4 linked regions of the Oryctolagus cuniculus genome follow. The protein of the gene in region 1 interacts with the protein of each later gene in a biochemical or structural test. Links are inferred from orthologs where the notes say so. Each region holds a gene or a part of one and is shown in the gene's direction. Other genes may lie near its edges. The genes, in order: CDH1, CCNB1, JUP and CTNND1.

Region 1 (6,937 bases):
CTTCGGGCGGTGCCGAGAGTCACTCCCTGCACCGTGGGCACCAGTCTCAGCGCTGGGTGTGCAGTATCAGCGGCTCATTCGGTGCTTGCAAGTGCTAATAATATCCCTGCCTTAGCTGTTAGGAAGCTCTGGTGCGGAGCGGCGAGGACTCGGCCCGAGCCAGCAGGTTCGGCAGTGAGGAATCTAGCTGGCTGGGCTCCTCTCTAGGAGACGAGCACCAGGGTGGGGAGGACAGGGGCCCGTGGGTGTGCACAGTTGTGCCTGCCCGCCTGCATGTGTGCATCGCTGTGGGTGTATCTGCTCATACGGCGTGTGCATCGCTGTGCACGCATGTGCTCGTACGCACGCACACATGCAGACAGGCAGAACTGGGGAAGGGTTCTGGGGTGCCTCGGGCCCCATCTCATCTCTACCGAGTACACCTGGAATCATTGAGAGCCAGGAAGTAGGACTTGAATCGCACCTGGCAAATGGCCGTGGGTGGGGTGGGAGCTGGGGTTTGCTCTGCAAACGTGACTGTTACCGCGTTGCACTTGGAAGCGCTCCAGTGATTTGGAAGCTGTTTTCCTGCACTTTGAAGTGCTCCAGTGACTTGGGTTTTCCTTCCCTCTTCAGCCCAGGTTTCCCTGCGTGTGCATGAAAACCCTTCAATCAGATTGTTTCCATCCCAACAGCTTCCCTTAGAACAGTGGCAACCCTGTGGGTGCGCCACGGTGAGGTGAACCGCAGGGTGGTTCGTAGGATCCATTCCCCACCCTTACTAGTACGGCCGACAACTCTGCTCTGGGGCCCTGGATTCCTGGGAAAGACGGAAACAAAGAGAAAATGGACCCCCCCCCCCCCACCCCGAGCTTCTGGCAGTTGCATCATCCCTGGTATTAACTCACTACTGCATCGTGTCGCTGGAAGATGGACAGATGCCTTGTTTAGGCTGGAGCTCACTTGTGAGTTCTCATCAAGCCTTGCAACCTGTCTGTGTGTGCTTGGTAATGACTTGGACCCCAGACACCACGAAGGGTCAAGCGGGAACACGGTCTTACGCGGCCAAGGGGTTCGTGCGTTTTGTGTTGCCCGTTCTTTTTGGAGAATGTGTATCTCACTGGTCATTGATCAGAGAGGGTGTCACTAAGTGAAAGCCACACTCTGCCTTAGAGAGACCAGATGACGCCTCCTGGATGAGGTGGGCCGTCGGACCTGTAGTGTCGCTCCTGAATTCTCATTTTTGTTCCTCCTCTTTCCTTGAAGGAGTCTTCCCCTGGAGCCAGCACGGAAGTGCTCACGTTTCCCGACTCCCACCATGGTCTCAGAAGACAGAAGAGGGACTGGGTTATTCCTCCCATCAGTTGCCCAGAAAATGAAAAAGGCCCATTTCCTAAAAACCTGGTCCAGGTAAGGAGGGCAGTTCTCTATTTGGGAGAAATCGAGCAGAGCAGCACCGGGGAGAGAAGGGGAGGAGACCTGACCGGGGGAGGGGTGTCGTTGCTCAGCGGCCCTGTTTGCTTTTGGCTCCTGCCTTCAGATCAAGTCCAACAGGGACAAGGAGACCCAGGTCTTCTACAGCATCACCGGCCAGGGAGCCGACACGCCGCCTGTTGGTGTCTTCATCATCGAGAGGGAGACGGGATGGCTGAAGGTGACGGAGCCTCTGGACCGAGAACACATCGCCAAGTACACGGTGAGTGCCTCCGAGGAGCTTGGTTGACAGTGGGTTGGCTTCCGTCCAGAATCTAGGTCAACCCAGATCAGATCCCCGACATGGGAGGGGCTCGATCTGTTGCCAAGGAGACGAGACAGGGGCACCCAGGACAATTTGAAGTTGTGAATTGTTTTCCTTTTAGGAGAAAGGGGGGGACAGTGCTCTCGTACCATGCGTGAGTTTAGACCCAGGATATCAACCTGCTCTTGGCTTAAAGGAGCAGTGGTGACACTGGGGGAAGAACCAGTTCCTGGACTTGGTAGCAGGCAGTGTGGGTTTGGGGCGGCTGGAGGGAACGTGTTGGTGCACGTGCAGAGGGGTCTGGGGCAACTCCAGACTGGATGGCTTTATCCCTTCTGGGCCTGATGCCCTGGTCCTCGGGGTGGGAAGCAGAAGGGGGTCAGGATCTCACTGAAGCAGCAGCCCAGGTCTCAGAGTAGAAGTCGCAGAGGCCGGAGGATCCCACACTGCCCTGGCCAGGCCCATCCTCTGCCTCTTCATCCTCGCCGGGGCCCGAGTAACCTTCCACTGGCTCCTGCAGCTCTTCTCTCACGCCGTGTCGTCTAACGGGAACGCCATTGAGGACCCGATGGAGATCGTGATCACGGTGACGGACCAGAACGACAACAGGCCTGAGTTCACCCAGGAGGTCTTCAAGGGCTCGGTCATGGAAGGCGCGCTACCAGGTCTGTCCAGGACGAGCGGCTGGTTGCCTGGAGCCGGGGTCAGGCCCCTGACGCGGACCCTTGCTGTGGACAGAACTTGTTTGGGAGCCAGTGTGTGTGTGTGTGTGTGTGTGTGTGTGTGTGCACATGCAACACAACCTAGCCTCAGGAATGTGCGACTGATGGAGCAGTGACAGCCACCTCCCCCCCTGCCTAACACAGCAGTGCTTGTGTATTGCTCTTTGTTCTTCTAAGGTTTATTATTTGAAAGTCAGAGTTAGCCATCAGTTTTCCGTCTGCTGGTCCACTCCCCAGACAGCCACAACCATCAGGGCTTAGCCAGGCAGGAGCCAGGAGCTTCATCCAGGTCTCCATGTGGGTGGCAGGGGCCCAAGCGCTTGGGCCATCTTCTGCAGCTTTTCCCAGCCCATTAGCAGGGCACTGGATCGGAAGTGGAACAGCTGGGACTCAAACCAGGACCCATATGGGATGCCAGCATCGCAGGTGGAGCCTTACCTGCTTTGCCATAGCCACATGTGCTGCTCACACAACATGCTGAGCCATGTTAAGCGATGACAGAGTGTCTCCCAGGTGGCTGAACCGGTTTACATTCCCACCAGTAATATAGATCCTGGGCTTACTGGACATTTTGGCGTTTGCCTACCTGTCGTGTGATTATGTCTTAGTGCAGTTTAAAAGGGCATCTCAGTGATTACCAGTGAGCTACACAACTTTGCTAGCCACTTGTGTTTCTTTTTCAGGACTGTGTGTGTGTGTGTGTGTGTGTGTTTCTGTTGGGCTGGTTGTGTTCCCTAGTGATCCTTTTCCTAACTGTGTAGTTGTTTAAAAAAATTTTACTTATTGAGGGATAGAGAAAGAGCACTCCCATCTGCTGATTTACTCCCCAAATACCCACAACATCTGGAGCTGGCCAGGCTGAAACCAGGGGCCAGGAACTCCAGGTCTCCCATATGGGTTGCAGGGACCCAAGTACTTGGGCTATCACCTGCTGCCTCCCAAGGTGCAGTAGCAGGAGGTGGAGTCGGGAGCAGAGCCAGGACTTGAAGCTAGGCAACTCCAGTGCCTACTCAGTGCCTTAGCCACTGGGCCAATTGCCTGCCCCCTTGTTGATTTTTTTTTTTTTAAAGATTTTATTTATTTGAAAGGCAGAGTTAGAGAGGTGGAGAGAAAGAGAGAGAGGTCTTGTATCTGCTGGTTCACTCCCCAAATGGCCACAACGTCAAGAGCTGGACCAACCTGAAGCCAGGAGCTTCTTCCAGGTCTCCCATGTGGGTGCAGGGGCCCAAGGACCTGAGCCATCTTCCACTGTTTTCCAGGCGCATTAGCAAGGACCTGGATCAGAAGTGGAGAAGCTAGGACTTGAACTGGCTCCCATATGGGATGCTGGCACTGCAGGCTGGGGCTTTAACCCTCTACGCCACAGTTGCTGGGCCCAAACCCTACCCTGTTGATTTTTAAGCATTATTTAGATGTTCTAGATACTAGACTAGACACTAGTCTCTTGTCAGTCACACGTGTTAATGAGTATTTTCTTCCACCTTGAAGGCAATGATCTCAAATTACCATGCACTCCAATAAAGCTGCAACAACAAGCCAAGTGAGGAAAGTTCTGGAATGTTCTTTCTGTCTGTCTGTCTGTCTTTCTTGGCAGAGGAAAACAGGAGAGATTGATTGATTGTTCATCTTCTGGCCCACTGCCCAGATGGTTGCAATGGCCATGGCTAGACCAGGCTTAAGCCAGGAGCCTGGAAACTCCATCCAAATCTCCCACCTGGGTGCAGGAACCAAGCACTCAGGTCATCTTCCGCCGCCTTCCCTGGCACATTAGCAGGGAGCTGGATCAGAATTAGAACAGCCGGGGCTCAAACTGGTGCTTGTACATAATGCCAGCATTGCAGATAACAGCTTAAGGCATCACACTACAATGCCAGTGCCTGGATTTTTCTTATCTTTGATGCCATTCACTCAGTAAAGCCACATCACAAAGTGTTGTAGAGATATTTAGTCCTCAGATTCACCTCTGCGTGCTGCCCGAAATGTGTGTTGGAAAAGTTGGGTCCTCGTTTGGCTGGATGCTTTCTTCCTCCCCTTGCGCTTTAGTGAGAACGTCAGAGAATTGGCATCAGCTGCTGGTGGGGGAGCCTGGCTGTCGCAGGCATCCGGGGAGTTAACTGGTGGGAAGGAGCTCGCTCCGTCCGTCTCTAACTCAACGGATAAAGTAAAAGTTCAGCACTCAGGGCCCAGGAGCTGGGACGTGACCGCATCGAAGCTGCCCTCTGTCCTGTGGGCACGAAGTCGGCCCCAGGGCGGCCGTCAGGTTCCCAGCCTGATTGCGTCTTCTTCCCCGGGGCAAACAGGAACGTCCGTGATGCAGGTCACGGCTACGGACGCGGACGATGACGTGAACACCTACAATGCTGCCATCGCCTACGAAATCCTCAGCCAGGAGCCCGAGCTGCCGCACAAGAACATGTTCAGGATCAACCCGCAGACCGGAGTCATCAGTGTGGTCACCACCGGGCTGGACCGAGAGGTCAGGAGGACCCAGGGGACATGGAAGCGGCTGTGTGGTTGGCTAAATCCCGTGGCAGTGCGAGGCCACTTGTCCCAGAGCGGCGGCCGCTGCCCCCGTCCTAACCCGAGTGTGCTTGGTCTCCGCAGACGTACCCCGAGTACACCCTGGTCGTTCAGGCTGCTGACCTCCAAGGCGAGGGCTTGAGCACCACGGCGGAAGCGGTGATCACGGTCACTGACATCAACGACAACCCTCCCGTCTTCAACCCCACCACGGTAATCTCCCAGCGGTGCTGCTGCCCTCTGTTTGGGAGCCGAGCTTCCCCACTGCTCTGGGGAGGTCCTGCGTGCGCTCCCCAGCCCGGGCGATGCCGACTTAGAACCTGGAGGCCAACGCTCCGGCCTGGCCGTTGTGCTCGGGCATCTTTTTTCCCATCTCTGGCCCCGAGGCCCCTTGGTGGAGGACCGCGAAGATGCAGACAGCGCCCCTCAAAACCATGTCCTTGCCTCGCGTGTCCTTGTTGCGGATCTTACAGGGGTTCATTTACTCGCTGGGCAAATGTTTCCTGCTTGCAGCTGCACACTGTGGCGTGCGCTGGAGGCATCCTCACAGACAAAGCACACACAGGTTCTGTTCTACAGCTCAGCGTCTAGCCGGGGAGATACTGAGTAGTTTGCACGCCTTACTGAATACCAAGTATAATAAATGCATTCTGGAAGAAGGCACCGAGGGCCGAATGGAAGAACTTACTGTATTAGTTAGGAGTTGAGTTATTGGCTGGCTACATAGGCCTGATTATGTAAACAAATAGGGTTGACTCTTTTTTTTTCTCTAATGTGGCAAAAAGCCTGCAGGTAGATGGGGTACGCTTTGCTGAGGCCACTTGTCACCTTAGTGTGGTGACAGCAAAGACCCCAGGGAAGAAAGCCAAACAAGGCAGGTGTCCAGGAGCTCGTGGGTAGAGGGGAGAATGTTAGAATTTGTCCTTGGGCACAAAGGTGCCCTCACGACCAAACTCTGGAAGGAGATGACTGATGGAGGGTGCACGGGGGTGGAGCTGGACCGCAGTGTCCATGCGGGGCTTAGGTCACTGCCCCAGCTGGGTTGGCAAGCTCTCGGGGACTTGGGGAGCCAGGGCCTTGGAGAGCTATGCACAGGGTAGCTGGCCTGGCCTGTTGTACCAGGCCTCCTGCAGGCTCCGTTAGCCCCCTGGGCCCCGGGCACCCTGGGCCTCTGCATACCGGGATGACCTGTTCCTCCCTTGGCTCTGCAGTACGTGGGCCAGGTGCCCGAGAACGAGGCCAACTACCTGGTTGCCACGCTCAAAGTGACCGACAAAGATGAGCCTAACACCCCGGCCTGGGAGGCTGTGTACACCGTATTGAACGATCCTGAGGGCCAGTTCATTGTCACCACGGACCCGGCCACCAATGACGGCATCCTGAAGACAGCCAAGGTTTGTGCAGTGCCGGGAGGGGACGTCCCCCAGCTGTTCCCACCAACCCCCACCCCCCGGTCTTCTCTGGTGTCGGTCAGCGTTTGCTGAACCAGGACCTGGTGCGATGGCGTAGGGGTCGTAGTGACCTGCAGGCCAAGCGGAAGAGGATGTCCTGTCTGCTTTCCTGTGCTCCTTCCCAGACCACACTCCACCTCCTTTTGCAAACGGCAGGAAGCAGGGTTCCGGAGGCAGAGACAGACACAGAGCCCTCTCATCCACTGAGTCACTCCTCAAATGCCCGAAACACTTGAGGCTGGAGCAGGCCAAATGCGGTAGCCTGGAACTCCATCCAGGTCTCCGGCGTGGATGGCGGGGAGCCAAGTGCTTGGGGGTCACCTCCTGCCTCCACAGCGCACGTTAGCAGGAAGCTGAGATGGAATCCAGGCGCTCCATGTGGGATGCCAGAATTCCGGTTGCATCCTAACTGCTGAGCAGATACAGCCGTCCTCGAGAAGCGTCTTAGAGATGTGAAAACCGAGACGTTTTTGCTGAAGGTAGTCATGGAGGTCATGGGCGCCTGGCCCAAGCCCAGAGCTTCAATT
Region 2 (7,460 bases), on another chromosome or scaffold:
TTGCATGATTCCAACCATGTGGCATTCTGGAAAAGGCAAAACCATGAAGACAGCAGAAAGATCAGTGGTTCCAGGGGTTTGGAGGGCAGGCAGAATGAACAGGTGGAGCACAGCGGGTGTTTAGTGGTGAATCTATTGTGTATACTACAATCACAGAAGATATATGTCATTAGTATATTTGTCAAAGGCCATAGGCCCATACCAAGACTGACTCTTAATGTGAACTATGGAGTTTGGGTCCAGAGTCATGGTGCAGGAAATGCCTCCATCCCACCTGAGCACCAGTCCATTTCCAATCCAGCTCCCTGCTACTGCACCTGGGAAAGCAGCAGAACATGGCCCAAGTGCGTGGGCCCCTGCTACCACATGGAGTTCTAGGCTCCTGGCTTCAGCCCGACCCAGGCCCAGCCATTGCAGACATTTGGGGAGTAAACCAGCTCTCTCTGTCTCTCTCTCTAACTCTGCTTTTAAATAAATAAATAAATAATTCTTAATAAAAAAACCTGGCGTTTTGGTGATAATGGGGTGTCAGTATAGATTCTCCTATTGTAACAAAGCTACCAGTCTGGTGTTCTATATTGAAAGTAAGAGAAGCTGTACTTGCATAGGTAAACCTCTACTTTCTGTTCAGTTCTGCTGTGAGCCCAAAACTGCCCTAAAAATATACTAAAGTTAATGCAATTTTATTAAGGATTTTTGTTAAATTAGTAGATTTTAGCAGCCCTGTCACTCAAAATAAGTTAATTCTGTTGCCAGGATAATAGATATGTTAATCTGGCTCACTACAGCAACCATTTTGGCATCTATTTGTATCCCCTAACATCATGTGTGAAACTCAAATATATACAATATAACTTACTTTAAACTAGATTGTAAAAATGTTCCAAAATAAAATAATTTTTAGAAATGGAAGCAGAGGGTAGGTTGCCCAGGCTTCCCCAACCATGAAGAGGTGGGACAGGGACTCATCAAACCCCAAAGACTTACTGTCGATGGACATCTGGGCAGAGCTGCAGGATGCCTGGGAGTTAGCTGGACAGAATCCAGGGTTCTGAGGGCAAGAAGGCGGACAAAGACCCCATGGCAGGCACCCTGTGGGGGCAGAGAAGAATGACGATGACCTAACATTGAATGATGATCCAACCGCACTGAATGGGTGCTTTCTGCTACGCCAGGGGTCTTACTGGCTAGTACAGAGCTGTCTTGTGTGATCCCAGTGGTTTTGTCTACCTGCCTTCCAAGTGCTGAGGTCCTGTGTGGTTGGGGAGGTAGAAAGCAAAAAGGACCTGTTTGTTTTCTTTGGCACCACAGAGAAGCCGATCACATGACAAAGCATATGGGATAAGGTCTAACAAAGGGGCCAGCACTTGCTACCTGCAGTTCCAGCATCCCATCTGGGTGCCAGTTCGCGTCCTGGCTGCTCTACTTCTGATCCAGTTCCCTGCTAATGTGCCTGGAAAAGCAGTGGAAGATGGCCCAAGTCCCTGGCTCCTGGTTCAGATCAGTGCAGCTCCGGCCATTGCAGTCATCTGGGGAGTGAACCAGCGGATGGAAGACCTCTCTCTCTCTCTCTGCTTCTGCCTCTGTCTGTAATTCTGCCTTTCAAATAAAATAAATAAATCTTAAAAAAATGTTAATGACAGTTAAATCTGGGTAAAGGGTGCAGGGATGTTCCTTATAATTGGGTGTTTACAGCTGTTGGATAGGATATTTTTTCCAAATAAAAAGCAAAGCGACTGGCTTTGGGAAACCACGCAAGCTTTCAAAAACCAACTAATCAGAAGCAATATGGCAAGTTGACATTCTTCACATTTTTTTACTTATTTGAAAGGCAGAGTGACACACACAGAGAGGGAGAGGCAGCAGTTATCTTCCACCTGCTGGTCATTCCACAAATGTCTGAAGGAAAACCGTATGGGAACTCCATCCTGGTGTCCCGCATGGGTGGCAGGGCCCAGGCCCGGGGCTGGCCCAGCCTGGGCAGCAGGCGAGATGGGCGGTGGCCTCTCCAGCTGGACCCATCAGCCCCGAGGCGGGCATTCTTGAGAGACAAAGTCGTGGGAAGAAAAAAAATCACAGCTCCACAAAGAAAGGCAAAAGCAAACCACGGTCACCCAAACACCCCTGAGTTCCGGCCCCGCGCGGCGAAAGTCGCCGGGTCCCCGGGCTTCAGCGCCGTCCACCCCCGAGGGCCGCTGCAATGGTCACCTCAGGGCACGCACGGCCATGAAAGCCTGTGGTTAGCCCGAAGGAATCCCCGCTGCCACCGTGGAGGCAGACCGCGTGCACCGCCACGCTGGACTGCAGCCGGAGCTGCTTCACCCGCTGCGGGCACCGCGCACCGCCCTCCCCCGACCCCCGTCGCAGCTCAAGGCCAAGGCTCCGCGGCTCCGCTCCGGCAGCCCAGCCGCGCCCTCCCGCCCCGCTGCCCCGCTGCCCCGCTGCCCCGGGCGCCCGCGGGCCGCAGCCCGGTCACGTGGGAGCCGGGAGGGGCCCGCCGCGGCCGCGCTCTGCGCCCGCCCCCTCTCGAACGTCCTCGCGCGGTCGCCCTGGAAACGCATTCTCCCGGCCCCGGCGCCCGCCAATGCGGAGGGAGCGAGTGCCGCGAACCGGCCAATGAGGAGGAGCGGAGCGGGGTTTAAACCTGAGCAGGGGCCGGCGCCTCCCGGCGTGCTGCGCAGGAACGGCCGGCTGTTGGCTTGTGGAGGCTTCTGGTCCGCGACGGGTCGGGGCCTCCGGTGTGCTGCGTGTGCCCGCCGCCCGCCGCCTGTCGAGGAGGAAGCCATGGCGCTCCGCGTCACCAGGGTGAGTGGCGGCTTGCCTGCTCGGCGTCAGGGGGCCCTGGCGCGGGCCGGGCCGGCGCCCCGGGAGTGGTGGGGAGCCCGGGGCCGGCCCAGAGGGAGGCAGGGGGCCGCGGAGGTCCGGGAGGTTTGGGGCTGGAGAGAGGGCCCTGGGGAGCCCGGAGCGGGGCCTTTCGGTTTCCTTTCAGATGTAAATTCGGATGTCTTGGGGCTGGCCGGCACTTCATTGGAAGCCCCTGGGTTGGCGAACGAGGGGGTTCTGGGAGGAAGCGGACTTGCTGGGGCCGTGGGCCGGACCCTGGAGCCCTTGTTCCCCGCTCGAACCCGTGCCCAGTGCCCCGCCCTGCGAAGAGCCGCCTCTCTTGTGGCCCACCTTCATTATCCCGCGGTTGACTTGCCTCTTTCAGAACACGAAAATTAACGTGGAAAACAAGGGGAAGATGACCATGGCAGGCGCCAAGCGTGTGCCTGTGGCCACCGCTGCAGCCTGCAAGCCCGGGCTGAGGCCCAGAACGGCCCTGGGAGACATTGGTAACAAAGTCAGCGAGCAGCTCCAGGCCAAAGTGCCTCTGAAGAAGGTAGCCGCCCCTCCGCCTCCCGCCCCCACCCCCCACCCCTCACCCCCAGCCCTGGCCTGCGCAGGGGCATCCGTTCTCTCTCTCGTCTGCAGGAAGCCAAAACTCTACCTACTGGGAAAATCCCTGCTAAAAAACTCCCTAAACCTTTGGAAACGGTGACTGTACCGGCATCTGAGCCGGAGCCGGAGCCCGAGCCCGAAGCTGAGCCTGTTAAAGAAGAAAAACTCTCGCCTGAGCCGATTCTGGTAAATGCATTCTACCCGTTTAGAGGCTGTTGATTGCTTGGGATAGCATTTGAATAAACAGTGACAGTAGCAAGTAGTGAGTGCGTCCCAGGAAGCAGGCTGTGCGGAGCACCAGGCAGGCACGGACTCACACGGCCTTTACATGCACACAGTCTTCACAGGAAACGCCCGCCGTCTACATGTCCAGTCTCGGTCCAGGCGTCCTTTGCCTTCATCCCTCGAAACAGCTCAAGCATCAGCTCCTGAAGTTTTTCCTGTCCTCCCCCACCCCCACTCCTGTTCCTGGACTCGGTCACCTTATTTGTCTATACTAAACTCAAAGCCCTTTGGGGATGCCATTAAGTCAACGCTTAGTACAGAGTCTGACTTGAAAAATGCGCTTGGAAAGTGTTTGAACAATGGGGTAAAGATGGCTAGAAGGAAATGGTAACTAGTAATGAAAATCAGTTAATTTCTGGTAGTCAGGACAGAACTTGTATTCTGAGTAGTGAGAAGCAGTCCATGTTTTTTAGCAATACAAAACCAATGTCTTTTATTTGGATTGATTTCATATGATGGTGGTAGGTTCACATACATAGGTGTCGTATAATGGTGATATAACGGTTAGGTTCATTACCTAACCGTTTCCTTTGGAGGAAAGTCTAGGACGCGATTTATTTGCTTCTCTTTCACCTGTTAGTGTTTATGTTCTGCTGACTTTAACTTGGCTAAGTCTAAGTTGATGTTTCACTTTTGATATCACTTCCTAAAAAATATAATACATCTGGAAAGATACTTTTCCATTAAGGAACTGAATTATACGTCAGTTGTCTGATCTCCATTCCCAGTCGTGGCATGTGCTCCTCTTTGCTGTTGCTTAAGACATGTCTCTGTTCCAGGTTGATACTCCCTCCCCAAGCCCGATGGAGACGTCCGCATGTGCGCCTGCAGAGGAGTATCTGTGTCAGGCGTTCTCGGACGTGATTCTTGCAGTGAGTGATGTGGACGCAGAGGATGGGGCTGATCCAAACCTTTGTAGCGAGTATGTGAAGGATATCTATGCATACCTGCGACAGCTTGAGGTCAGTATTGCTGGACTGTTTTTTCCCAAACAACAGCTAGCTTTATTAAAGATGTTTTTCTATCAACAGTCCATAGTAATTCAAGCAGGATATAGGCAGTATTTCTTTGTTTCTATTTTTTTTAAGATTTATTTATTTGAAAGCTTACAAATAAGAAAGATTTTATTTATTTGAAAGTTACAGAGAGAGGTAGAGACAGGGAGAGATCTTCCGTCCGCTGGTTCACCCCAGATGGCCGCAACGGCTGGAGCTGTGCTGATCTGAAGCCAGGAGCCAGGAGCTTCCTCCGGGTCTCCCACGTGGGTGCAGGGGCCCAAGGGCTTGGGCCGTCTGCTGCTTTCCCAGGCCATAGCAGAGAGCTGGATTGGAAGAGGAGCAGCCGGAACTAGAACCGGTGCCCATATGGGATGCCGGCACTTAAGGCCAGGGCGTTAACCCAATGCGCCACAGCACCGGCCCCATCTTTGTTTCTATATTTATTTTCATTTCATCTGAAAGATAGGGACAGATCTGCTGGTTCACTCGCTGATGCCCACAACAGCCAGGGATGGACCAAGCTAACTACAGGAGCCAAGAACTCAATCTGTGTCACCCACATGGGCGACAGGGACCCAAGTACTTGAGCCATCATCTACTGCCTCACAGGGTAGACACTATCAGGTAGCTGGATTGGAAGCAGAGGAGCTATAGGCCGGAGCCTAGAGGAAGAGAACAGGGCTTAACAGGAGCATCCTGGGACCCCCTGCCCTAGTTTCAGCCCATGCTAGGTGTCAGCTCTCCCTTGAAGATGTCTGAGGCTCCTCTCCTATCAAATAAAAGACCACAGCTCAAATCCGGATGCACTTGTGCCTTTTATCGTCCCCAACATCTAATTCCATTCTGTAAGTCACCTCATCATCTGCTTTCCTTCTATTTCTAGTCACTCCTGATAAAAATAATACTTATATTTCCAGATAGCCCACAAAGCCTACTTAACACATAACATTTCTGCTTATGCCTTAGATTGACAGGCAAAAAAATAGAAAATGGTGCTACTCTAAGACTGGCTATCACTTTAAGACAAAAAATGAACAGAAAATTAAATTTCTTCTATTTTGAATATTTGTGCTTAAGAAAAGTCAGATAAGTTAGTAGAAGATAAAGAGGCAGATGGAAATTTTTGTGAAAATCATGAAGAAAATTGGAGTGCATCCAAATGCCTAGAAATTAAATTCCTGGGACTTTATTATATCTAATGTAAGTACAAATCTCTGCCTCTTTCTACTTGACACAAGGAATCAGGCTACAAGGATATACATTTAGATGTGTTTGTTTATGCATGTGCACAAGGGCATACACTCACACAGCAATGAATATACTTGTACAAGAAACACAGGAAAGCAAAGAGGATAATGCGGCAAAACAGCTTCTCTGCGATGACTAGAAGATGAGGGACAGAGGGGGAAGCTTTAAAAACAATACATGTGTACTGAGAACTTCCACGTTGATTATGACCTTGTCTAAATAAGGTCGGAGGTTGTGAACTCAAGAGGCTTCCATAGCCTTGGCAGCTCATGACAAGAACCTTGGGTGATTATTGACGTCATGAAAGTGTCAGTTGTTATATCAACAATGGGAGTCACTGTATACTTGCTCCTCATATAAGACCTCTGTCCTTAATGTGTTGTACTATCAGAATTAATGGTAAAACTAATCTTCAGGCCGGCGCTGTGGCTCACTTGGCTAATCCTCCACCTGCGGCACCAGCACCCCGGGTTCTAGTCCCGGTTGGGACACTGGATTCTGTCCCGGTTGCTCCTCTTCCAGGCCAGCTCTCTGCTGTGGCCCCGGGAATGCAGTGGAGGATGGCCCAAGTGCTTGGGCCCTGTACCTGCATGGGAGACCAGGAGGAAGCACCTGGCTCCTGGCTTCGGAACGGCACAGCGCGCTGGCCGTAGCGGCCATTTGGAGGGTGAACCAACGGAAGGAAGACCTTTCTCTCTCTCTCTCTCTCTCTCACTGTCTAACTCCCTGTAAAAATTAAAAACAAAACAAAAACTACAGATAGTACTTTTTACTTTGTGTGTCTGTGGGTGCAAACTGTTGAAATCTTTACTCATTATAGAGTTGATCTTCTGTATATAAAGATAATTAAAATGAATCTTAATGAAGAATGGGATGTGAGAGGGAGTAGGACATTGGACAGTTTGGGAGTGATATGAGGGGAAGAGCCACTATAATCCAAAAGTTGTACTTTTGAAATTTATGTTTATTAAACAAAAGCTTTCTATTAAAAAATAAAAGTGGGGGGCCAGCATTGTGTATAGCAGGTTAAGCTACTGCCTGCAATGTTGGCATCCCCCTTGAGCCCCAGTTCCAGTCCCTGCTGCTCTACTTCTGATCCAGCTCCTTGTTAGTGCACCTGGGAAAGGAGCAGAAGGTGGCCTAAGTGTTGGGCTCCTGCCACCCATTTGGGAGACCTGGATGGAAGTTCCTGGCTTGGGTCCTCAAGCTGTTGTGGCTATTTTAGGAATGACCAATGGATGGAAAATCTGTCTCTCCCTCTCTCTCTAACTCTTTCAAATACATCTTTAGAAAAAGAAGAAAACTTGGGTTCTAAATGCCCCCAGAGCAATTTTGTGTGGTAACTAACGGTTCTTTCTGAAATATAAGTATCACAGAGAGTCTTGCTTTTGAGGGTAAATCTGCATTTTCTTTTGCAGGAAGAGCAATCAGTCAGACCGAAATACCTCCTGGGTCGGGAAGTCACTGGAAACATGAGGGCCATCCTAATCG
Region 3 (7,523 bases), on another chromosome or scaffold:
ACATCTATCATGTGCATGTCGGAATCAGTACCCCTGCGTGTGGCTGAGACCGGACGTCGGGAGGAGCTCACGGCCCACACTGGGGCACAGGGGCCTCATCAGGGCAGCTGGAGATTTGTCAAACAGAGAAATCCCTACCTTTAAAGGCTTGGCGGGGGGGGGGGGGGGGGGTGTCCTGGAGGAGATGACCTCATGGCCTTTCCTTCAAGTTCAAGGCACAGGGGAGGCTGTGGCCACAGCACACCTCCAGCACACCTCGTCCCTGCCCCCAGACACCTCCTCCTGTGAGGGCAAATCTGCTCTACAGGGCCGGCGCCACAGCTCACTAGGCTAATCCTCCGCCTAGCGGCGCCGGCACACCAGGTTCTAGTCCCGGTCGGGGCGCCGGATTCTGTCCTGGTTGCCCCTCTTCCAGGCCAGCTCTCTGCTGTGGCCAGGGAGTGCAGTGGAGGATGGCCCAGGTGCTTGGGCCCTGCACCCCATGGGAGACCAGGAAAAGCACCTGGCTCCTGGCTCCTGCCATCGGATCAGCGCGGTGCGCCGGCCGCAGCGCGCCGGCCGCGGCGGCCATTGGAGGGTGAACCAACGGCAAAGGAAGACCTTTCTCTCTGTCTCTCTCTCTCACTGTCCACTCTGCCTGTCAAAAAAAAAAAAAAAAAATCTGCTCTACAGACAGCTGACTCCAGGGAACACCACTTACGGAGGAATCCTCTGTGCCTGGCAGGCACACCGTAGGTGCTTAATAAATGCGCACAAAATCCCCTCCTCTGAGGAGAGACAGGGCTGGAATCTATCTTCTCTGCTGTGGGTGGTGCCTGAAGCCAGTCTCCGCCTTAGAGCCCAGCTTTGGGGCAGGCGTGTTGCAGCATGTTCCGCACTCAGACACGCAGGGGGCATTCTTGGGAGACACACACACGTGCGCACGCACACACAGGGGTTCCTCCCTCCACCCCACCCCAGTGCCCCCGCCCCTCTCTGCAGTCAGCCAGCCCTACCCTGCGCGTTTGCTGAAGTCAGGAGAATGAGGCGGGAGTGGAGCCAAGGTGTGGGGCTGGGAAGGCCTACGTGTGTGTTGGTGTGTCGGTGTGCCGGTCAGGGTGGGGAGGGGAGCAAGAGCCAGCCTGGCCCTGGCAGCAGCCGAGGGTGGTGAGCGCTTTCCCTCCCAGGCTGTGGGCGGCCCCGTGCTGTGTGGCAGGCTGGGGCCCGTGGTCAGCTGGAGGAGCGGGTCAGGGACATGGCATCTGGGGTGGCTGTAGGTTCAGGGATGTCGATGCGTCCTTGGCCCCATCACAGGGAGACTCCTGGATGGTGAGGCTTCAGACAAGAGAGTGTTCAGCCATCACTCCTTCCCTTGCTGAGGACGGTGGTCAAGGGGCCACTGGGGTACCTCCCCCCAGCCCGTGCTGTGTGCTGGCTTCGGCTGGCTGCGAAGCATGTTGGAGGGGTGGACTCTCTATACGCGACCACTCCCCCAAGACACACAAGCTACAGACACTTGACACAGAGTCTCTGTGAGCTCTCCACCAGGGTCTAAGCCAGTGCCCAGCATACAATTGGTGCTCAATACTTGCACTGAACGAGTGGACATCTGTGAGACTCTTGGCACAGTGTACGTCATGAGCAGCACTCATTTCCTCAGGCACTGTAAGGGTATACCCTTGTCACCTTACACTGCCCATGGGAAGTTCTTTCTGATATCCAACCCAGGCTCTTGGACCACAGAGAGCCCTGCTGCCCCACTCCCTTGATGCCCCAACTCCTCTTCCTTTACGGCCACTGCCTGATTCTGTCTACACCTGCCCAAGCTCCCTATGCCAATGCTCTGTCCTTGGACCAAATAACCGCCCTTCCATCACTCCCCAGAGTGTTTGCTTTGCCGTGTCCCTGGTCCTTCCCCGCTGCTTTGATGTCAGTACCCACTCCTCCAGGAGGAGCAAACCGAGGTTCGGTGGGACTTGAAATCAGAGAAAAGGGGCTCCGGCTCAAGGCAAGTCGTTTCCTAGTGATTTCTCCGATCTTTAAAATGAGGATTGTTTGGTTGTCCTGGCAATTTTTCGGAACTGTCAGCAGCATTTTAAAAATCATATCATCGATTTAAATCCCGACACTTAGCAGTTGTCCAAGGGCCTTACCTCATCCAGCTCTTGGCCCTCTCGTGAATGTGCCCATCTTACAGATGAGGACAGACAAGGTGAAAGGTGAAGCGACCTGCCACCAACAAATGGCAGAACTCAAACCCAGGCCTTCTAGTCCTAAATTTCAGGAACTCTCTATCCTCTGCGGGGGGGAAAAATCCCAACCCAGCACAAAGCCTATGAAATGCTACACAACTATGTGATTACTACCTTGGCGCAAGGATGAATAAGCCCAAAGAAACATCATGCCTGACGCTAAGTGGGCTGGCCGGCGAAGGCGTCTGTCCTTTCCCACGGCGCCCCCTGACTCACCTGTTGGACAGGTAGGGGGAAGGGGAGAGTAATGAGTCTTACCTGCTCAAAGCTAGGGTGGGGCAAGACACACCCCATCCCTTCCATTGGTCCTTTCCTTAATCTTACTGACAGCCCCTCGTCCAATCAGGAGGAAGTAACTTTCTATCCGCCAATAGGTGCAGAGTTAATATGGTGCCTCAAGTGGGGGCCCATCCCTAGAGCCAACTGGCAGTCCCTTGGGCCAATGGCGATCGGATAAACAGAGGCGGCCGTGGAAGAGGACTGGGCGCGAGGCTCCGCCCCTCTCTGGGACAGTCAGGCGCCGCAACCAGTGAGCTCGCAGCAGCGGGTGGGCGTCTCCCTAGGGGGTGGAGCTTCGAGGGGGCGAGAGGCGTGGCTTGGCTGTCAGGTCCCTTCGCCTTTTGTTCGGTTACTGAGTTGCTGCCTTGGCCAGAGTCCGGAGCAGCCGCCGCCCGAGCGCGCCGAGCTCAGTTTGCTGCCCACGCCGGCTTCCACCCCGGCCCGACCCCGACCCAGCCCGGCCAGGCTCCACACGCAGGTGCGGACGATCGGGGCCAGGTATCGTTGGGGAGAGGAAAGGGGCGGCGAGCGGTCGAGAGACCAGTCCCAGCCGTTCCGGGCAGGTGAGGGCCGGTGCCAGGGAGCGCCACCCTGCACCGGCGGCAGGGGGCGCGCTGCGGTCCTGGGCACGGCGACTCAGGGGACGCGCGGTGGGGGCCAAGCGCACCTCGGGCCTCGATGAGCCCGAGACCCGAGAAGGGCTGGGAGGGGCCGGGACAGGTGCCTCTAGGGTCGCGCCTCCCCCGGAGTCCGCGGAGCTAGCTCGATGCCGCGTCCCTGACTCGCCCTGGGCTGGCTGGGGAGACTTTGACCTGCTCCGCCCGCGTCCTAGGGCTCACTCTGCTATTGGGAATTTACGGTTTAGTAAACTTGCTGCCACTGGTCTCTTTGGGGCCACCCTCACCCCACCCACGCGTCATCCTCGCCTTCCCTCACTCCCTCCCTATTCCCCCAGGCCTGGGTGGGGCCCTATTGTCTGCGCCCGGCTTGCCCAACTGTGGGGGCCAAGCAGGCATTTTCCCAGAGACGCGAGCCCCACCTGCCCAGCAGGTGAGCGCTCGGAGCCGCAGGCCCTGCCTGGCAGCTCGCGGAGCTCCGTCGGCGCAGTACCTGCGGCGCCCCCCTCCGCTCCAGTTCGCGCTGGGTTGGGGCTCTTCCAGCGGAAGTGGGATGGGGTGGCCGTGGGGCTGGGGCAGAGCCCTGGTCAGTGCTCAGTGGGTGTCCGGCGCCTGTGGCTCGGACTGGGGCTTGCGGGTAGGGGTCTGTGCCTAGGTAAGGGCTTCGGGGTCACCTGGCCCGGCTCTCTGTCGCTGTGGCTCCCACAGTGTCGATGTGGGAACGGAGCTACCTTTCTCTACCTTCCTGTTGAAAAATCACCCGAACAAACTTTCCTGGAGGAAGTGTTCGCGGTTGCTTTCTCTGGGGGCTTTCCTGCTTCCTTGGGGCAGGGCGCCCTCCCCGCGCCGGCCCAGTGCCTGCGCCCTGACCTGCCTCCCCCGCCCCCACCCCCATCCTGTTTGCTGGGCCCCTGGGGCCCGAGGTGGGGGCCGGGGTGGGGGGTGGGCTGAGAAGGGAAGCAGCTTCTTCCTTCTCTTCCTGCCTCCGGGGACCACCACACCCCCTCGGATGAGGCCTGCGCTGGTGGCTCTCTCCCAAGCTCTGCCCCCTCCCCAGGAATGGGGGTGGGGCAGGACTGGGCCAAACTGCGGAAGGTGGGGGAGTGGTGATTCTTGTCTGTTTCCCCTCCTCTACCGAGTCCTGTGCGACTTCCCTGGCGGGAGCTGAGGCCCGGACTGGCTCTCCCTTTGATTTCCCAGTTTTTGGAGCTTCTGCAGACCCTCGCCTCCCCACCCCCTTTCCCGGGAGAGTTTGGTGGGGGAGGGGGAGGCGGGAGCAAGGCTTTCTGGGGTGCTTTGCTTCAATGCTAGGCTCCCTCACACATGCCTTGGGGCCCCACCCGACCTGCCCCCCCCAATTTCCCGAGCGCTCCTCCTGCCCGGCATGGGATCTCTACCAGGCTGTCTTCCCTGGTTTTTAAGAATTCAAGTGTGGTCTTTTTTGGGGGATTTGGAGCCCAGCCTCCTGAGGGGGAGGGGAGGCCAGACCCACCTCCCTGGTGTGTCCAGGGCAGAATCTGGCTGCTCCTTGGGGTGAGGGAGCCTGAGGAGGGGACCGAAGCCCTGTTCTGCTGTGTGGTGTGTGCCGGCGCACCTCTAGGAAGCCATGGAGTTGGGGCCCAAATTGCCTGTTTTCCCTCCTCTCTGCGCTAAGGTGGAGGAGGGGAAGGCATTGTAATTACGTTGGCTAAATGATTAGTTTAGCTAATCTGGTTTGTGGCTGTGATGAAAAGATAATAGCAAGGAAGTATTGCTAGGAGGTGCCTGGTGAAAACTGGCTCCTGGCTGGGCAGTCTGGGGCGGGGTGGGGGGGAGGTAGGACCCGATTAGTCATTTCTGGCCAGACCAAACCCCATCTTGGGTGACAGGAGCCCCCCCCCCCCCCAGCTCCTCCCCATTCCCTGTGGAACCTCTGTTTGGGCTGCCAGGGCTGAGCTGGGAGAATGCAGCATGTAGGAGCCCAGTAGGTCAGGCGAGGGCTAGCAGCCTGCCACCTTTCCTGGACGCCCACGGGTGGGTCCCGTGGGCAGCAGTTGCCTTGGAGTGTGCTGGGTCTGGTGGCCGGTGGGCTTCTAGAAGGGCCGGGGGAGAGGCACTGATTTCCATCGCAGCTCTGTGTTGCGTGGTCAAAGCCCTTCACCTCTTTGAGCCTCAGTATTCCATTGGCAAAATGGGAAGAATCTTCCCAGCTCCCCAGCAAGGGCTTGATGGGTGCTCACCTAAGATCAAGGGGAGACCTGGGGGGGTCCGCACACAGCCTCCGTGACTGTCCCCACCTCATCTGTCCGGCTCTCCTCCCAAGCAGCTGTTGTTGTCTGCTATCCACAGAGGAGATGGAAACAGGGCGGTTAAAGCACTTGCCCAAGGTCGCACAGTGAGACCCCTACGAAGCCAGCGCCTACACTTGGGTCCTGGGGCTCCAAGCCCAGAGCTCACCCCGCAGCTCTGGAATGATTTTTTTCTGCTGTCCCCTTTGGAGAGCCTCTGCCTGACCGAGAAGAGCATTCAGAAGGCCCAGTGAGGTGTGTGTGGGTGGAGGCAGGTTTGTCCGGTGGGGTGACTCACGTCTTAGCTGCCCGCCCTCTTGACTTGGGTTCTTAGTTCTTGGAGGAGGGGGCAGCTCCCCCAAGGCCAGGGGCGGGACAGGGCAGGGAGAAGAGGGCAAGGGGCAGAGGGGGCTGGAGCTGGGTGGGAAGTAGGAGTTGCCTGCTTTGCAGGTGCTGGGGCTGTGCCAAGAAAATGAGGGGGCTGCTCCCTGGGGAGTGCAGAGAGGAGAGCCGGGGTTCAGAGAGCTGCCTCATGTCCCCATCAGCCTGCTTTGGTGGGGCGCTGGCTGGCCTGTGTCGGAAGCCTGGGAGCCCCGAGGGGCAGGTGGAAGGTGGTTGGGCAGGGGTTCTTCCTTCACTGGGGGCGGCAGCGCCATGGGTGCCCCCTGTCAGCCTGAGCCCCTCTTGGCCCTGGGGTGAGGAGTTGGCGTCCCCTTGTCCTCCCAGGCTTGCCTGGGTCTGGCACTGCTGCTGCCATCTGCGCATCTGACACCCGGCTCCGGAGGGGGCGTGGAGGTGGGTTCTGTAGCCTAGCCCCAGCAGCCTCCACACCCCTCCAGGGCCCAGCGGACCCCAGGCATGGGGATTGCTGCTCCTGCACAGAAGGCAGAGGGGACTGGAGGGGACTGAGGGAAGAGGTTCCCGTGGGTCCTGGCTGACTCGAGAGAGTGGGTGGCAAGGGAGCCGAGACTGGTGCCACGTAGAAGGAGTGGCAGCTTCCTGTCCCTTAAGGTGGGGGCCCAGTGTTGTGTCTTCTCTGAGGAGGACCCTCCTGCCTGGAGCGGGGAGGGGAGGGGGCTGCTGGGGTCTGCATGGAGGGGAGAGGAGGGACACGATAGTGAGGGCACGGGCTGCTCCCCCCCAACCCCCCCGAGCTGGCGGGGGCAGGTCCCTGGAATTTGTTCCTGCACGCAACAGCCTGAGGCCTCTGCTGGGACCCGGGTTGGATCTGGCCGAGGTTGGATCTGGCTGAGGTCTAGGGACCCGATTGCCCCATATTCCAGCGGTGGACGGGGTGGAGGCAGCAGGTGGCAGGGAGCGGGGCCGTGTCGGGGACAGGGGCTGGGTAGTCAGCAAGCTCCTTTGGGGGTGATTGCGAAAAAGTTGGGGTGTTAAAAAAAAGTTGACGAGGGAAAGAGAAAAATCCAGAATCCAGCCCCGTCGGCAGCCCCTGCGAGGTCTCCTCCGCTTTCTTATCGTCCTTTTGTGCCTTGGCTTCCGTCTTGATGAGGTCATGCTCTGTCCACCAGAACACGTTTTAGCCAAACCTTTGTCCCAGTCCTGGCTTTCTCCAGTGTGTGCCGCTCAAGGAAGTGTAGCGAACAGGAACAGGAGAGGGTCAGGCTACGGTCCCTGCAGAATCACACCCTCGGGAGTGGACGGCAGCTGGGGCCAGAGCTCCTGCCCCGGCTCCACCACTGGGAGGAGACCTGTGCGCTGACCGCCCTTGGAAGTGTTGGAGTCCTGGTGTGGGTTCACCTGCTGCTTTGGGACGCTGCCTGCAAGGGGTCACCTCCGGGAGCCCTCGCCAGGGGAGCCCAGGGGTTCCCGGGTCGAGCCACTTGGCCTCAGCCGCTTCCTTCTCCCGCGAATCCCCTTCATTTTCCCACCCTGGTTTGTTTGCTTTGGGAAGGGGCCCAGAAGGAGGAAAACAAACAGCAGCTGGGTCGCAGGCCTGGGCCTCCCCGTCCCACCCCCCCCACCCCCCCCCCCAGCCTCAGGGACAGCCTGGGCGTCCCTCCAGTCTGGAAGCCAGGGTTTTCCTCCGGAAGCTTCTCTGTCGTCTCCTGTCCCCAGCCCTGGCCACTGTAGCTCTGTCCCACTCTGTCCCGCTTCTGCCACTGCCCTCT
Region 4 (6,937 bases), on another chromosome or scaffold:
AACGTGAGAGACCTGGATGAAGCTCCTAGCTTTGGACTGCTCCAGCCCTGGCTATTGTAGCCATCTGGGGAGTGAACCAACAGATGGAAGATCTCTCAGTCTATAGCTCTTTCTTTTTTCTTTTTTTTTTTTTTTTCTTCCGACAGGCAGAGTGGACAGTGAGAGAGAGGGACAGAGAGAAAGGTCTTCCTTTGCCGTTGGTTCACCCTCCAATGGCCGCCGCGGCCGTCGCACCGCGCTGATCTGAAGGCAGGAGCCAGGTACTTATCCTGGTCTCCCATGGGGTGCAGGGCCCAAGCACTTGGGCCATCCTCCACTGCACTCCCGGGCCATAGCAGAGAGCTGGCCTGGAAGAGGAGCAACCGGGACAGAATCTGGCGCCCCGACTGGGACTAGAACCCGGTGTGCTGGCGCCGCAAGGTGGAGGATTAGCCTAGTGAGCCACGGCGCCAGCCAGTCTGTAGCTCTTTCAAATAAATAAATAAATCTTATTTTTTTAAAAAATATTTATTTATTTATTTGAAAGACAGAACCTGTGAGAGAGAGAGAGAGTGAGTGAGCTTCCATCTTCTAGTTTACTCTGCAAATAGCTTCAACAGCCAGGGCTGGGCCACACTGAAGCCAGGAGCTAGAAACTCCATCCTGGTCTCCCATGTGATGGTAGGGGCCCAAATTCTTGGGCCATCATTCACTGCCTTCCTAGGCAGTGTATTATCAGGAAGCTGTATCAGAAGTGGAGCAGCTGGGACTCAAACCAGCACTCCAGTATGGGGTATCAACCTTATAAGTGGTGACAATCTGCTGCTCCACAGCACTGGCCCCTTTATTATTATTTATATATATTTATTATGTTATTATTTTAAAATATTTTATTTATTTATTTGAAAGGCAAAGTAGCCGGCGCCGTGGCTCACTAGGCTAATCCTCCGCCTTGCGGCGCCAGCACACCGGGTTCTAGTCCTGGTCGGGGCGCCGGATTCTGTCCCGGTTGCCCTCTTCCAGGCCAACTCTCTGCTGTGGCCAGGGAGTGCAGTGGAGGATGGCCCAAGTGCTTGGGCCCTGCACCCCATGGGAGACCAGGAGAAGCACCTGGCTCCTGCCATCGGATCAGTGCGGTGTGCCGGCCGCAGCACGGCGGCCGCGGAGGCCATTGGAGGGTGAACCAATGGCAAAAGGAAGACCTTTCTCTCTGTCTCTCTCTCTCACTGTCCACTCTGCCTGTCAAAAATAAATAAATAAATAAATAAAAAATAAAAGAAAGAAAAGAAAGAAAAGAAAGAAAAGAAAGAAAGAAAGGCAAAAGTAACATACACCTAGAGAAAGGGAGAGATCTTCAATCTACTTCACTCCCCAAACATCTACAACAACTAAGGTTATGCTAGGCTGAAGCCAAGAACCAGGAACTCCTTCCAGGTCTTCCCACGTAGGTAGCAGGAGCCCACTCATCATCTGCTGCCTTGCAGGTACATTAGCAGGAAACTGGATCAGAGCTAGGATTAGCTGGTTCTCAAACCAGGTACTCTGACATGGTTTGTCCCAAGCAGTGGCTTAACCCACTGTTCTGCAACATCTGCCACTTGGGACACTTTTTTTTTTTTTTTTAAATTTATTTATTTAATTTGATAGGCAGAGTTACAGAGAGATAAGACACAAGCACACACACACCCATCTTCCATCCGCTGGTTCACTTCCCAAATGGCAACATCGGTTAGACTTGGGCTAGGAGATTCCTCTGGATCTCCCACGTGGATGCAGGGGCCCAAGAACTTGGACCATCTTTCCCAGGCATACTAGCAGGGAGCTGGATTGGAAGTAGAGCAGCTGGGATTCGAACTGGCACCCATATGGGATGCTGTTGCTGAAGGCAGCAGTTTAACCTGCTGTGTCACAGCACCGGCCCTAGGACCACTTTTTTTTCTTTAAATTTATATTTGAGAGTTATAATTACAGAGAGGGGGAAGAGACAGAGAGAAAGGCCTTCCATCTGCTGGTTTACTCCCCAGATAGCCACAATGGCTGGAGAGCTGGGCCGATCCAAAGCCAGGATTCAGGAGCTTCTTCCTGGTCTCCCATGCAGATGCAGCTTGGACTATCTTCCACTGCTTTCCCAGGCCATAAGCAGAGAGCTGGATTGGAAGAGGAGCAGCCAGGACAAGAACCGGCGCCTACATGGGATGCCGATGCCACAGATGGAGAGTTAGCCTACCATGCCACAGTGCCAGCCCTTTAGGGCCACTTTTAAAGGCCCTTGGGGGCCAGTGTTAAGTGCTACCACTTGCTGTAGACCAAAGAGTAATTTTTGTGATGTGTCTAGAGTTTAAAGAGTTGGTTTTTGACCTGGATAACTTTCTGACTCCTTATAGATAAGAAACCAGATCGGGAAGAGATTCAAATGAGCAGTATGGGATCTAACACAAAATTACTAGGTAGGTGATTGATGCCTCTTAAGGATTTAGAGCTATTTATCTCTATAGGTTTTTCTAATATCCTCAGTATTTATCATACTGGAAAAGCATTGGCCAGTCATTAAATTTATTTAAATTTTGCTCACATAATACCATTTTCTTGTTTGCTTTTCTACGTTCTCTTCATTCCTAAAGGCTTAAGCTCATGTTTTCCTTTGCCAGGTCCTTCCCAACTATTGTAGCTTACTTTGCTCTCCTTTTGCTTAATTGCAATACTCTTTACAAACAGATCTCTTCAGTTTAGCTTTGTTATTATGTGTTGTACTCTGGGTGTCTCATGTATGTTGTCTTTCCTGTTGGTTTCAGGGACAATTAAGCATTAATGCCTTTCTGGAACATTTGGCAAAGCTCAATTTCTGTCAGAAATATGTAATTCATACTTACCTGTTTGATATATATTGTACTTGAGAGGGTAAGGTCATGTTTCTGTGTGCTTTCTCACTAGATAACAATTATTCCACACTTAATGAGAGAGGGGACCACAACAGAACACTGGATCGATCCGGGGATCTAGGTGATATGGAGCCATTGAAGGGAGCACCATTGATGGTAAATTCTTGTTATATACTATTGGCCATCTAAGACTAGTTCTATTTTGAAGCCTGCATATTTTATGAAATAGGAAAAAAAGGTACAGAGAGAAAGACCCTTTTCTTGTTGGTGTTTTCAGTAAAAAGTGGGAGTTTTTGATTCATTTTGGGATTTGTTGGGTTATTATTCTGCTGTGGTCAAGATGGGGGAAGGGAAGTCTAAATGTGTTACTGTTATGACTAACACTAACTGATCTGTTCTCATACTTTGCCTTCTTCCTGAACCTGCCTGTGTGAATGTTGTGCCCTTCTCTTACTGTCATCTTGTTTTGTTTGAGTTTATAGATTTTGGGATTTGCACTCGGTCTGGCACACTCTCACGAGATTCCTTTCTCTTCACTCATACTAACAAATTGCATGTGTTCACAGCAGGACGAGGGACGGGAATCTCTGGAGGAAGAGTTGGATGTGTTGGTTTTGGATGATGAGGGGCACCAAGTGTCTTACCCCTCCATGGTATGTCCTCCAGTCTCTCCTGAGATCAGACTTGAGGAAGAAGGCTCCTGTGTGTCAGCTCGCCAATCATGCTGACCTGATCAGACCCGAGACACCAGGTCTCAGCCTTGCGGGGCTCAGGGGGCTCTGCTCCTTTGATTATTACCTCTTGAGAAGCTGGGGCCTGCAGCTGGTGATCTGATTCTTGGTTGTGTGCTGCTTTCCTCCAGATTTACTCAACTGTCTTTTTTGGGGTCTCCTTACTCCCAGCTCTATTAACATCCTCTTTCTCTTTTCTTCCCACAGCAGAAGATTTAGCACCACCATCTCCGCTCCATCTGGGCTTATAATATATGTACTTTTATTTTTTGGTGGTGAAATGGACTGATGATTTTTTTCCTTTCTTCGCTGGACTATTGTGCCAACTGCCAGGCTGCCTCCTGCTCTTATAGCCCTAAGTGGCTGCCTTCTTTATATCAACTCCCAACTTCTTCCAGTGAAGTTTAAATGTCCTACCCACCTCCGCCCCCATTCCCTCCAGTTTCTCCCAAGAAGCTTGACTCAGTTATTTGCATATTTTGAGAAACTGCTGCAGATTAGCTCTTTTTGCCAACTCTCCCTTGAACTCTTGGCCGTGTGTAGAGGAGGGAGAGAGTGGGAATCTTCTTCACTGGAAGCCATGGGAAGAATTGGAACTTATATGCAATATATGCAGTGTTGAGCAATCTGACAAACTGATGGTTCTTAATCAAGATTTTTTTCCCCTGGTGGGGAAGGGACTTTTTATTTCCTTTTGGAGACTGGGAAGTATGAGTTCTTCCTTTACTCCTAATGGCTATTTTTGAAGCAAAGAAGGCTGGCAACATTGGCACATTCCACCTGGCAAGGGCCCTTGAGTAAGTGAAGGTCTTCTAGAACTGGGATTAAGAATTCTTGCTCTCCTCACCTATGGGGCAGGGACCATCAAAGACCTACAGACTCCATCTCTTCTACAAGCCTCATGTCAACTTTGGGCTGCAGCCGCTGAGGCTATCCTTAGCCCTCCTCTCCCGCGTTGTGATATGTCTGCTGACTTGGCCTGGCCGTTTGCAAGAAACTGTTTAAAGAGGAGAATGTCAAGGAAGACTTTTGGTTGAGAAGGAGCAGAAAGATGTCTTTTGGAAAGAAGAGGAGCCTCTAGGAGGAGCTAGTAGGAATGTACATGAAGTGGTTAGTCTGAAACTGGCAGGAAGCTTCAAAGCTGGCTTCCCCCTCTCCATTTCTCCTTGTCCTCCCCTTTCATCCCCTGCCTCCTCCCTGGATTGGTTGGCCAACTAAGGACTTGATGTATATAACTCCTGTCCCCTTTACCCTTATAATGTGGGGATTGCCCCTGGCTTTGCCTCTTCTTTGTGCCTTTGGCCTGGGGTGTATCTCCTCCCTCCCTTCCATGTGCCTTTCTTTACCTCTGCAGTCTCATTTCTCATGATTTTGCAAATTCTATTTTGTTGCTTTCTTGCCCACTATTGGCCCTCAGTAATAGAAAGAAGAGGAGAGGTGACCTAGAGAACCTCAGATTCTCAGTTGGGGATTGGCGTAGCTTTTGAGTTTAGCCATAGCAAGCTTTTGCTCAACAGCATCAGGTTGGGGTTTTGCAAAAATCCCATTCTGATAAATCTCAAAGTGGAATTAATGGGAGGAATGCGTGGTGTGACTCTTGTTCTTTAGTTGCCCACAATTTCCCATCATCTCTGAAGGGGTCGTAGGGAAGTCATCTTTCCCGATTTCCTCCTTCTTGCTAATATTGCACCCTCTTGCTTTAGTGTGTATTAGCAGATTGGGTTAGAGGAATCAGCTGCTATGCGGGTTAATTTTTTTTTTTTTTTTGATCCTTTTCCTTATTTGCCTTCTACTCCCCTTAATCTGAAAGCTCTGTTCAATGCAACTGGAATTCTTTATCCCTCTTTTCCCCTTCCCTTATGTATTGAGGCTATGGGGTAGGAGAAAAGTGCACAATTCACCCCCCTTCCCCATATGTTAAAACTCCTTATTTGCCTCTCCCCCTCCCATTTCTTCCTATTCCCTTCTACCTTATGTTATCCGTGATCCCCGGAGCACACTGCACAGGGGAAGTTGCCCCATCCCCACCTGACTCGACTCTTGGTTTCTCTTGCCCTCCTCTGCTTTTTTCCTGGTGCTCTCTTTTCGGTGGGATGTGGGTAATAGAACAGCCATGGGCTTTTGGGGACCTTTAACTGTTTTTTTTTTCCTTCTCTCATTTATAAAAACACTAAACATTCAATTCCAGAGAACCAAAAATCCCACCTTCTCACCGAACACTACTAAGGGGCATGCCTTCTGCTCCATATCTTTTCTCATTTTCTTTCTTTCTTGTTAATGCTTTTAAAAACAAATGAGTTTTTTATATAAATAAAGTTTTTAAAGTGTGTATGTGGGGGGTCTGTGTCATTTCTTCACTTCTAGCTGTATCTTTTCCCTCCTTTTCATCTTGGTTACCTCCTTATGTGTCAGTGTCCTTTCTTTCCAGAACAACCAGAGGAGGTGACACCGGGATGGATTTATTTTGAACACAGTCCAACTTTTTATCAAGCAGCGTCCTTTTTAAATCATATGTGAAACATTTTTTCTTTAGAAGATTCTTAAAAATTAAATGTGGCTGAAGTAGAGCTTGGGGAGCTTATTGCAAACTTAGCAGTAGGAGATTGAAGTGTAGTTAATGACTTCCTAAGTCACTGGAATTCTCTTGCTACATTTGACAAAACTAACATTGAATAAAGCCCACTGCAGTAGATGACTCTCTTGAACATAACACTTAGGAGAAGACTAGAAGCTACCAACCCCAACTGCCATCCTAATAAATAGGAGAATGTAGAATAAAAACACCCATGTATGTAAATATTGATCACTGGGCCATAATGTTGCTGTCAGGCTATATTCAGTCCTTATAGTTAGAAACCAATAGGCCTATTTATTTGATAAGCCATATTATCTGGTAGGATATCCTATCAGAAATTTGGTAATTATTTGGATATCCTACCAAGTAATATGTGAGTGATAGAAAATATTTGTTGGATTATGAAGTGACTATCTTTACTGCAGAGACCAAGGATTAAGACCTTTGGAAAGAGATTTATTTTTCTGGGGCCCTCATCTCCTGTCATGATTAAAAATCTCAAGAGAACTTATGTAAAATGCTTTCTGTATGCCCAAATCTTTAGATTAAAATTTTATAGCTGCTTCTGAATATGGTTCTGTCTCATTTTGTTGAAATAGGATTTGGGTATGAAATCTTCCTTGGGCAAATGAGACTATGAAATGTGAACATTGTAGCTGTTACCTTTTAAGGCTTGATATGTGTCTGCCAATCATAATATCAGACCAGAAAGACGAAGCACAAAGCTCAGAAGCTTTTAAGAGTTTGTTTTCCAGAGAGTTGGGTAGCTGCAC

The links.
Region 2: of the proteins of CDH1 (region 1) and CCNB1, one has a biochemical effect on the other in vitro, tested with the Homo sapiens proteins (3 studies listed by BioGRID). The link is inferred for Oryctolagus cuniculus from reciprocal best matches to the Homo sapiens genes CDH1 and CCNB1.
Region 3: the proteins of CDH1 (region 1) and JUP form a complex in vitro, tested with the Homo sapiens proteins (2 studies listed by BioGRID). The link is inferred for Oryctolagus cuniculus from reciprocal best matches to the Homo sapiens genes CDH1 and JUP.
Region 4: the proteins of CDH1 (region 1) and CTNND1 form a complex in vitro, tested with the Homo sapiens proteins (5 studies listed by BioGRID and IntAct, with this or other methods). The link is inferred for Oryctolagus cuniculus from reciprocal best matches to the Homo sapiens genes CDH1 and CTNND1.

What each region holds. Positions count from the first base shown.
Region 1 is NC_091449.1:51,966,952-51,973,888, forward strand, and holds part of CDH1 (cadherin-1), read left to right. Parts: intron 1-1,245; coding exon 1,246-1,389; intron 1,390-1,519; coding exon 1,520-1,675; intron 1,676-2,237; coding exon 2,238-2,382; intron 2,383-4,739; coding exon 4,740-4,915; intron 4,916-5,043; coding exon 5,044-5,172; intron 5,173-6,170; coding exon 6,171-6,353; intron 6,354-6,937.
Region 2 is NC_091445.1:90,144,366-90,151,825, forward strand, and holds the start of CCNB1 (G2/mitotic-specific cyclin-B1), read left to right. Parts: upstream 1-2,640; 5' UTR 2,641-2,784; coding exon 2,785-2,805; intron 2,806-3,208; coding exon 3,209-3,379; intron 3,380-3,471; coding exon 3,472-3,624; intron 3,625-4,502; coding exon 4,503-4,685; intron 4,686-7,387; coding exon 7,388-7,460. UniProt on the Homo sapiens protein: Essential for the control of the cell cycle at the G2/M (mitosis) transition.
Region 3 is NC_091448.1:20,925,186-20,932,708, forward strand, and holds the start of JUP (junction plakoglobin), read left to right. Parts: upstream 1-2,830; 5' UTR 2,831-2,988; exon of another isoform or gene 2,989-3,073; intron 3,074-7,523. UniProt on the Homo sapiens protein: Common junctional plaque protein. The membrane-associated plaques are architectural elements in an important strategic position to influence the arrangement and function of both the cytoskeleton and the cells within the tissue.
Region 4 is NC_091432.1:14,351,438-14,358,374, reverse strand, and holds the end of CTNND1 (catenin delta-1), read left to right. Parts: intron 1-2,363; coding exon 2,364-2,426; intron 2,427-2,910; coding exon 2,911-3,014; intron 3,015-3,424; coding exon 3,425-3,586; 3' UTR 3,587-3,609; intron 3,610-3,796; coding exon of another isoform or gene 3,797-3,808; 3' UTR 3,809-5,920; downstream 5,921-6,937. UniProt on the Homo sapiens protein: Key regulator of cell-cell adhesion that associates with and regulates the cell adhesion properties of both C-, E- and N-cadherins, being critical for their surface stability.